Kluyveromyces lactis: one gene and its partner. The protein of the gene in region 1 purifies or fractionates together with the protein of each later gene. This does not show direct contact. Links are inferred from orthologs where the notes say so. Each region holds a gene or a part of one and is shown on either strand. Other genes may lie near its edges.

Region 1 (5,713 bases):
ATTTGTTTACAATCTGTTATCATCTCAAGTTCATCCAATTATCTAATTGATTACTACGTGAAGTGCTTGTTTGGTATATTGACTTGCAGCACAGAATTAAGTTCGAGAGTATTATAGTTTTTTCAGGGAAGCTTGCAAAACCAAAAAATAATAATCACAAGCTTTATCTTAGAAAATAAAGACCGTTAGAATTTCAACCATAAGCAATTGAAAACATGGTTGGAGAGGTTGACGACGTTACATTACCGAAGGCTACCGTTCAAAAAATCATATCTGAAGTACTTGATTCCGATCTAACATTCAGTAAGGAGGCTCGTGAAATAATCATCGAATGTGGGGTAGAGTTCATCATGATGCTAGCGGGTTCTGCTAGCGAGATCGCAGATAAAGAGTTGAAAAAGACGATAGCGCCTGATCACGTGATCAAATCCTTACAAGATTTGGAGTTTGATGAATTTATTCCACCATTAGAAGAGATTTTACATCAACACAAAGAAAACCAGAAGATTAGAGAGAGGCGGGATGCTAAATTCAAGAAATCCGGTTTGTCTGAGGAGGAATTACTACGACAACAGGAAGAATTATTCAGACAATCTAGGTCAAGGTTACAACAGACATCAGTATCGGACGCCTCAAGCAACGATCCAGAAGTTGGCGTAAAGGCCGAAGAATTCTGAAAACATAACAAACAAAGTGTTGCATTATCTTCAAAACTCACTCCTCTATACTTGACAGACTTGCTCTAGAAAAGTTTATAGAAATACTTGTGTAATAGTACGATTTATTGTTATATGAAAGAGTTTGAAAATTCGTTCTGCATTTCAAGGACGGGAGTATGTATGAAATACCTCATGTGATTGACTGAAGTGCGTTTATAGAATATGTATACCTGTCCAATTCTGAATTTGGAACGATTATACTCTGCCGTTTGTAGATTTTATCGGATCATTTTCTATCATTATTGGTTAAGGCACGCGTTCATAAGCTTGAAGTTACAAACTCAAGTATTGTTTTCAATGCATCTTGAGAGTCGCTGTCCATTGATTGCATCACAATATGATACCTTTCGGGATTATACTGCTGTAGTGATACGAAGAATTCATGCAATTTTGAGAATGGATCGATATCATCTAACGGAGAATCATTGAAGTCGTCGTCAATTTCATCATAGAAATCGAGGCCCTCATTATCATTATCATCTTCTGCATCAAATTCTCCATTTCCGATCTTTGTACGCCTACTCATAGCATCTGGAAGTTCCTGTACTAGTTTCACTAGTTTGTTGGCTAATGGTTTCATAAAGCCAGTAACGCAACTTGGTAATTCAGGCAACTGGAACATAGACATGATACCAAACATTTGTAATTTGATGGAAAATACTGTCCTTGGATTACTGGAAACCCATTTGTTTAATAGACCAAGAAGTAATCCTTTGCTTTCGCATATTTGAAGAGTCTCCAATGGTTTGCAATATAATCCTGCCATGAACATTTTAACTATTAGCGCATCGTCTAAACCAATTTCTTCATCCACTGCGGCATCACAGAAAGAAGCAAAAAGAGGAATTTCTTTCAAAGAAAGAGCATATGATATTAATAGTTCAACAGCACATTGAATATCGTAATCGACACCGGAACCCATAACTTCTGTCAAAATGCTCAAGAAAGCTGGCAAGTATGTTTGATCCTGAACGAATCCGAAGTTAATTACTGTTTCAAAGAAGATTTTGTAAGATTCAAAGTAATCCAACGCATATGTCTGGAAAGAGTCAAGAACGTCATGAATCATTTCCCATACTTCGGGGGTGAATTCATTGAACAAACTCTTGGAGCTTAGGGCTAATGAATCCATCAAATCAACAATCTCAGTTAAGAAGATAATTTGTGCGTTGACAATCACAAATTTAACGACAGGAAGGAATTTGCTTACCAAACATACTTTATTCATGGACATAGCCATAGTAGTCATTGTTTGTAACATACCGGAGGCCTGGAATTCTTGGTCTTGGTCCGAAATTGAGTTACTGTTACTATTTTGAATCAAAGATTGGCCCAGTTGCATAAACTGATCGACTAAGTTCTGAGCTAAATCATTAGCAAATGGAGTAAGCTCTTCCGCAAACCTTTCCACAAACGCTTCCATGACTTCTGTTAAAGTGTCAATTTCAAACTCTTTAGATAATTTCAAAAGTCTTTCCATGATTTGAGGAGCTTGGGATTTAATATGCGAATGAATATCAGGATTAGATATCACCAATGTTTTCAAAGCATCAGCACTGACAATTTGAATCGGTAGAGAGCTGTTCTGAACGAAGTTCCCATATACAGATTCAAAAATTTGGGATAAAATTCCCATATCCGAAAATGGAGATTGATAGATTGAAATGGTCTCCAATGCTCTAGCGACCAAGAATGAATGTTTTTTATCACTTAGTAGAGGTAGCACGAAGTGAGAGAAAATGCTCTCTAGATTGATAGCATTATCAGTTTCCGAAGTAAGGAAAGAAGACAAAGTAGATAACATCCTCAAAGCACCCTCCTCTTGGTAGGCCGCTTGGATAACGTCATTCTGTTGATATTGGAGGAATACTTGGTTGATCAAAGGCAATAGTTTGTTAACCTCTTCCATTCTTTTGTGACCGATAACAAAAATAAAGTCTGTGGCAGCCACGTCTGCTGTGGAACTTTCTTTGTTTATGTCGAAATAACGTCTTGTATATTCTTCTGGATCTTCTTCGAACAATTCTACGGATGCATCAGAGGCGCAAAGACATGGGAAAATAACATGGTTGATAATGCTCTCAAAATGTGGTTGAATCATTGACCATAATGTATTTTCAATCGCACATTTTTCCAAAAATTGAATTAAATAATGTAATGCGGATTCGCTGAGCCATAATGTTCCTTTGTTGGCACCCCATAGTTCAATGACTTTGAAATATTCTTGTAAAATGGTTGGAACAATATTTTGGAAAACGTAGTCGACCATTTCTTGATTGATAGCCTTTGTGGTCCTGCTATACTTTGCAATAAATTTGTATAAATTACCGAAAGCCCATTTATTAACTTTTACCCTTTTGTCTAAGGACCTATCAGCCAAATCCAAGGCCATAGTCTCAGACGGCATCGGTTTGGAACAAAGGAAAAGATGCAATTGAATCCAAGAATTTAGTTTGTCAATATTCGTGAAATAACTTGGGAAGTTATTCAAACAACCATATTTGAATGACTTCAATATCAAGTACAACATTTCGTTCGACTTATGACTTTCTTGGTTAACTAGCTGACCAGCAATCTGTTCCATTACTGGAAAGACGCTATCGATAAATGCGTCAATGTATTGCCTATTGCCGTACATGTCCCATCTGTGATTGATACATACTTCAAAAATCAACAATAGACCTGGATAAATATACTCTTGTTTCCCAGATTGCAATAGCTCAACAACCTGGTTGGTGAAGACCCAATCGTCATTCCATTTTAAGATGGCGCCGATAGATTCAGTAATATGTGGTCTAATATGATTATTCTCATAGTTAGTTATTAATGCATTAATCAAAGCCGGCTTCACAGCATCTTTCTCCTCTGGAGAAATAATAACCGTCTTGCGAGAGTTCCAACTTCTTTGTATCATATTCTTCATATAAATTGCGCAACTCATTCTGATTGGTATTTCCAACTGGGCATTATTTGTAGTGTTTAGAAGAAAGGAAAGGAAACCTGGTTCTTTCTGTAATTCAAATAACTGCTGTTCGGCTGCTTTGATTGATCTAGCATCGCTAGTCATAGTTTGACTAAACAATTGCAAGGTTAATTGTTCATTCACCATTGTGCTTTTTGTTTAGCCCGTTATGCTACTGTTCTTAATGAAACGTCGTTGATTATACTTGACAAGCTTACTTGTCAAAAAACTTTTGTCAGAAAACTTTTGAATCCTTTGGTATGGTTCGATGAGATTGCAAAAATGAATTTGAGGCCAAAAAGCGAGTTAACACCAGATTGTAAATATCGTTAAAGAGAAACGCTGTTTCAGTCCGTTGAATCATCATAGTGGTTGGTGATAATACATTGAAGCTGTCTCTATCTCATCGAGATTGAAAAAAAAACGAAAATTTGAACCACACATGCATCAGAACACCACACCAAAATTGCAATGTGTTGGTAGTTTTGTTGACATTTAATATGCCAACCTGAGCTGTTAGTTTCCAAGGCCATGTAAGTAGGTTAATTGAAGAATGTACTTATAATGTCAATTGACATTGAATCTTTCCCTGAGCTGCAAAAAGGCGGTACTTCTAACACTGTATCCTTCTCATATAATATGAAATTAAAGTTATATGAGTATCTGGGATTAATCATAGGGCTGCTCATTGCGTTAGAACCATCGTACATCCATCCCGATGAGCATTTCCAAACATTAGAACCCATTTTCACAGCATGGACTGGAGCTAAAGGTACTGCTACATGGGAATTTCTTCCAGAAAATCCTTGCAGAAGTATCACTATTTTGAGGCTCTATTATACACCTCTGCTATGGCTGAATCAACATATATTCCACTTGAAACCCTTGGGTCTATTGTATCTTTATCGGCTGCAGAACTATTTACTCTATACGGCAGTGGTCATATTCTTCCTCGAGTTTTGCGAGGTCTCCATAACGCATAAAACTAAAGCAAAATTCTTCATCAGAACCTCATATGTCACTTGGGTCTTTCAAAGCCATACGTTTTCCAATTCCCTTGAAACAATAATATTGTTACTATTCCTGTTTACTTGTCAATATTGCATTTACGAGGTACGAAGTCGGCACTATGCAACCTTCTCATCATGTTTCTTGCTAGGTGCATTGATTTCCATCGGCACATTCAACAGAGTCACTTTCCCTGCGTATTTGATCTTACCTTTGTTATCTGTGTTCTACCATTGCTTTCTCTCTCACTGGATTGGGGTGGCATATACTGCCATTAGTACGGCACTAGTCTCTGCGCTCATCATATTGTTCGATACGAAGGCGTATAGCAGTACAGACTGTAAAAGCTGGGTCATTGCTCCCTTAAATAATCTGCTTTACAATATGAAGGTGGATAATATTGCTCAACATGGGTTACACCCACGATATACTCACCTTTTAATCAACTTACCTCTTATTTGCGGTCCCATTATCCTACTCTTTATTTCACAAAAAGCTGTGCTTAAACTGCCTGCATTATCTTGTATTTCTGGCATATTAATGCTTTCTCTTTTCAGACATCAGGAATTACGCTTTATAATACCGGTTCTACCATTACTTTGTGCATCGATGAACCTTGACAATTTCGATACTTTCTTTCAAGCAGAAACCATCATAACTTCATGGCTCGTCTTTAATATTGTCATGGGATTGATAATGGGAGTATTCCATCAAGCAGGAATAATACCTCTCATATCCTACTTCTCAGGTGAAGAATTCCCTGTTCATATTTGGTGGAAGACATATTCTCCTCCGACGTGGATGTATTCCAATCCTGATCTGACGGTTTCTACCACGAACTTTAAGGAAAATGTAGAGTTTGTCGATAATATACCTTGGCATGTTGTATCAAATCATGTTGTTGATTTAAAAGGTAGTGACATTGAGTTACTAAATAAAACTCTTACAAAATTTTCGGAGAACACAGACTCAATTCAGCTAATCATGCCAAATACTGTTCTCGATAAATTGACCCCCCTTCAGT
Region 2 (4,195 bases), on another chromosome or scaffold:
AGTACCGCTAAGACTCATAAACCAACCCAGTAAGGGAACCCACTTTATCTGTTTCTTAGCAGTAACTGTGCATCCAGGTGGGAAAGTTCTACCCAGCATTAGGATATCCAATTCAGATTGATGGTTCGAGATAAAAATAGCTGGCAAATCGTTCAATCTTTCACCATTGATCAAATTAATCTTAATACCCATGATGAAACCCATCACTCCATAGAAACAGCGAGCAGTACTCCATTGCGCCAAATGCTTTTTACCAATTAATGAAAATACAATCGATGCAAGCACACCATACAATGCACACGATGATAAAAGTGTAACTGCAATGACAGACTTCCCCCAGAAAACTATTTTGCTGAAAAAACCCATAGCTGAATTAAATGGATTTTGTTTAATGTTTCCCACTGCTCACACAGTAATAGAATCAACAAATAACTGAGTGTACTATTGGTACCTTATGCAATGATTTTTCGACTGTTTTTTGTTGGTATTATTATTCGAGAAACTATTTCAATCTTGTGAGATTTTTTAAAAAAAAGAACGAGAACGAGATGAAACTCAACATTGTAACAACAGTTGGAACGAACATACCCAGAAAGTTTCGTGATAGCGGAATCGGCAGCAATCAATTATCTGTTAAAACCAGACAGATCCAGTTAGAACTGTGAATTTGCAAACTAAATAATCCTGGATATGATCCATGTATTTAGTGAAATCATCACCATCAAATAAAGGAACAGAGCACCTGGATAACAATTGAGGGCATTTGAAATCTGTGTTCAAGTAGCAAACGACGTAGCGAAAATTAAATGAACGTTGTGTCAAGGTGCAAAGTGTACTCTTTGGACCAATTTACAAGTCCATACCAGTATACATGCGAAGTCAACGGTAAGAAATGTACCAGGATTCACGTCGTACAGGAATCTCTGCGAGGAAACGGTAAAACAAGAACCATAGTGAACACAGTGCGCGAACAATGTGAGGGGAACGGACTAATCTTGAACATTTCTTCGATGCCCCGGAACGACCACAACGACAATGACTTGCTCGAAACATACCCGGAATTCCAACAGACTAATCTTTCCATGCTTCAGTTCGATTCCTTTATTCAATTTATGTCTCAATTATGTACAGATCCCGTGACCGCATTGTCTAGATGCCAACCGCAGAATTCGGAAACGTCTACATCGAAGCAGTTGGCATGGGTCCTCATTGATAATTTGTCGCACTTATCCATGGACCCCAAATTCGACGCCAAGTTGCTCAACAGATCAATTAGACTCGTACAACAGACTTTCGGTTCTGTCGTTATCTCTACAAGTTTGCCCTTATCGTTCCATGGTGGTATAGAAAGCACGTTTAAACATCAATCAACAAAATGTGCAAGTGGTGACCGTCTGTTACCCTATTTCAATGAATCCGACATTATCCTATAAGCTCTACAAAACGCTGTGCTAGAAACCGTGTTGCCCTACTATGTGATCTTCTCATCTCTGCATGGCAAAAGGACATGGTTCTGTCTACACCAAACAATTTTTTTTTTTTTTCATGCATTTTTGAACATGGAAAAACGTTAAAGAATTACGAAATGACATTCCAATTGAAGTTATGATACAGGTTCTAATCGATACTGTTAACATCCTTGTCTTTGTGCATTGTAGCTTCCATTTCCTTTCAGAACTGGGTTAAAGTTTAAGGCTTTTTCCCTATTGTTTGTGGTCATTTATCTAGCTGTCTATTGGATTGTTTGGATCATAGCCGTAAAGAATCGAATCGCACTTCTCATAACAAGTTATACTGGAAACAATGTCATTTTCCCAAGAGATCCGTCGTCGTGGGTCTTATGCCCCAATCGATTTCACTCCTGAGGTGTCTCAGGCTTGCCGCAAACAAGTGGAATTCTACTTCAGTGAATATAATTTGCCCTACGATAAATTTTTACGCTCTCTATGCGAACAGAATGACGGATGGATTCCAATTACGACACTTGCGTCTTTCAACAGAATGAAAAAGTATAGACCTGTCGACAAAGTTGTTGATTGTTTAAAGGACTCGACGATTCTAGAGGTTAGCGCTGATGGTGAAAATGTGCGTAGAAAGAGTCCATTAGAGACAGTTGATTTTAAGGACAGGAACGAAAGAGTGTTAGTGTTTATGAACTTTAAGAAGATCGAAAATGAAGATAAAGATAAATTCCTAGAATTACAAGAAGAACTAGAGAAGTTCTTCAATGGGTTCACCACTGTTAACCAAGTTCGTTTGAAGAAGGACCATAAGAAATACTTCAACGGTGTTGTCGAAGTCGAATTCAAGACGAAGGAGGAATGTGTCAAATTCTTTGAGGAACACAAGACCGATTTCTCATATCAGGGACAACCATTGGAAGTTGTCACTAAGAAGCAATACAGCCTCGCCAAGAATGCAACTAGATCAAAGAATTTCGGTGGTTCTGGTCAAAAGACAAGATCATTAACTGGTTACAGGAAGAACATCCCAAAGACTAATGACGAAACTCCTGAAGCCAGTTCTGAATCAAAGCTCAGTGAAGGAGATGCCAATGCTCCAACTGAGAAGAAATCGGAAGAAAGTGCCACAGAAACTGCTTAAGGCAGTCCGGGCTATTCTCATATTGTTATTCTAAAGCTCTTTTTTCCGGTGTCAATCGAACTCTTTGCCAGTAAATTGTAAGAGGATGGATACCAATGGAATCTCCAAGAAAAGAGGTTTAACGAAATAATAAATACACACACTTATATATGATAAATAATGACATATATTAAGTTTTTAAGAAGAAAAATATAAAGTTTACCCATAAATGTTTTTTGTTTAAAGACTAGAATGGAAATTGTCACTTGTATCGATTCTTATCATTCAAATAGCTCTCTTCACATTCAATTTCCTAACACTCATAGTCTGTCTGTCTTTAGGATCGTACCATCCACCATTCTCGGTGGGGAATGGTGCAGGGGTTGCATAGTTGTAATCTGAAGGTCTTGTGTATGACCAACCTGGGGTGATGGTGGTTTTTTGCTGCAAAGAATTGATCAGCGAAGGGAAGTAAGACACCGCACTTGTCGCGTATCTTCTTGACCAAGTCTCCAAAGTTACAGTAGAACCCGGTTGTTGTTGCATTGGAGCAAATCTGGAAATACCCGTTTGTTTGGTATATGGAATAGTGAAAGATCTTGTATCTACTGAAGCCGCATCAAGAGATATCTGCTTTGGAGGACCATCAGTGTCAGTCACAGATTCTGCACTGACACTCAAGGTACCGTCCATACCTGACAATTTCATACGACCACTGTAATGAATCGTGTATCCTTCCTTATACGCGGCGTAGATCTGAATGAAATATGTCCCGTCTGGGGCCGTGGTGGCTGGGAAACTGGCTTGGTACTTGTAATCACTCACCTCGGAAGGCTTGAATGGACCCAAAGTGTCAACAGGTACGATATTAGAATCCGAACCAGTACATAAGACGAATTTGTACTCGATGATCTCATCTAACAGTGGGGTCGTCTCGTCGTCAGTCCATTGGATTTCAATTTCGACTTCACCACCAGAAGCAGCGTAAGAAGAACCTGGTTTTGGAACCGTGACAGAAACATCAGCTAGAACTTTACAGACGTACAACAGCAGTAATACCAGTAGTCTCATTCTATGTATATTGTTTATTTTTCAAATGCTGATTTGAATCTCTGGACCCTAAATGATTCAATGATAATGCCACACACACGCTTACTACTCGTCAGTTACCGTTATGTTGTAGTAGTATGAAGAAACACTTTCTATGCCACGTAGTTCAATACTGGCCACAGGTCTTTACGGTCTTTTATACCTTCTTGATCTGAGAAACTTGTTCGCCGTGAAAGTCCCAAATATATATAATTGAAATGTGATTTGAGTTCTAGAAACAATTTCTTAAAAAAATCGATGTCTGGCCATGGGAACTTAGCAAAGAGACATAGGAAATGGAGCAAAAAAAACATAACAAGCAATATTAGCACTTCCAAGACATGTTACATGATAAATGTGAAGTAACTTTCGTCCAGAATGGTCTCAATCATGCCGTATTGCATAGACGTTGTTCACCGGTTTCCTACATATGGTTGCTTCGCAACAATTACATAAGTCACATGATCTATTATTCGTAAAAACAGACAGGTTCAACATAGAGAAACATCAACTCCTGTGTCCG

The links. The genes of interacting proteins can lie anywhere in the genome.
Region 2: the proteins of SXM1 (region 1) and LHP1 purify together in Saccharomyces cerevisiae (affinity purification with mass spectrometry; 4 studies listed by BioGRID, with this or other methods). This does not show direct contact. The link is inferred for Kluyveromyces lactis from reciprocal best matches to the Saccharomyces cerevisiae genes SXM1 and LHP1.

Annotation. Positions count from the first base shown.
Region 1 is NC_006039.1:573,720-579,432, reverse strand, and holds SXM1 (Sxm1p), read right to left. Parts: upstream 3,829-5,713; coding exon 979-3,828; downstream 1-978. Other genes in the region: negative cofactor 2 transcription regulator complex subunit NCB2, read left to right, coding at 216-677; SMP3 (glycosylphosphatidylinositol-alpha 1,2 mannosyltransferase), read left to right, coding at 4,246-5,713.
Region 2 is NC_006041.1:128,126-132,320, forward strand, and holds LHP1 (tRNA maturation protein LHP1), read left to right. Parts: upstream 1-1,803; coding exon 1,804-2,604; downstream 2,605-4,195. Other genes in the region: 1-acylglycerol-3-phosphate O-acyltransferase SLC1, read right to left, coding at 1-366; PSY3 (Psy3p), read left to right, coding at 807-1,433; KNH1 (Knh1p), read right to left, coding at 2,869-3,654.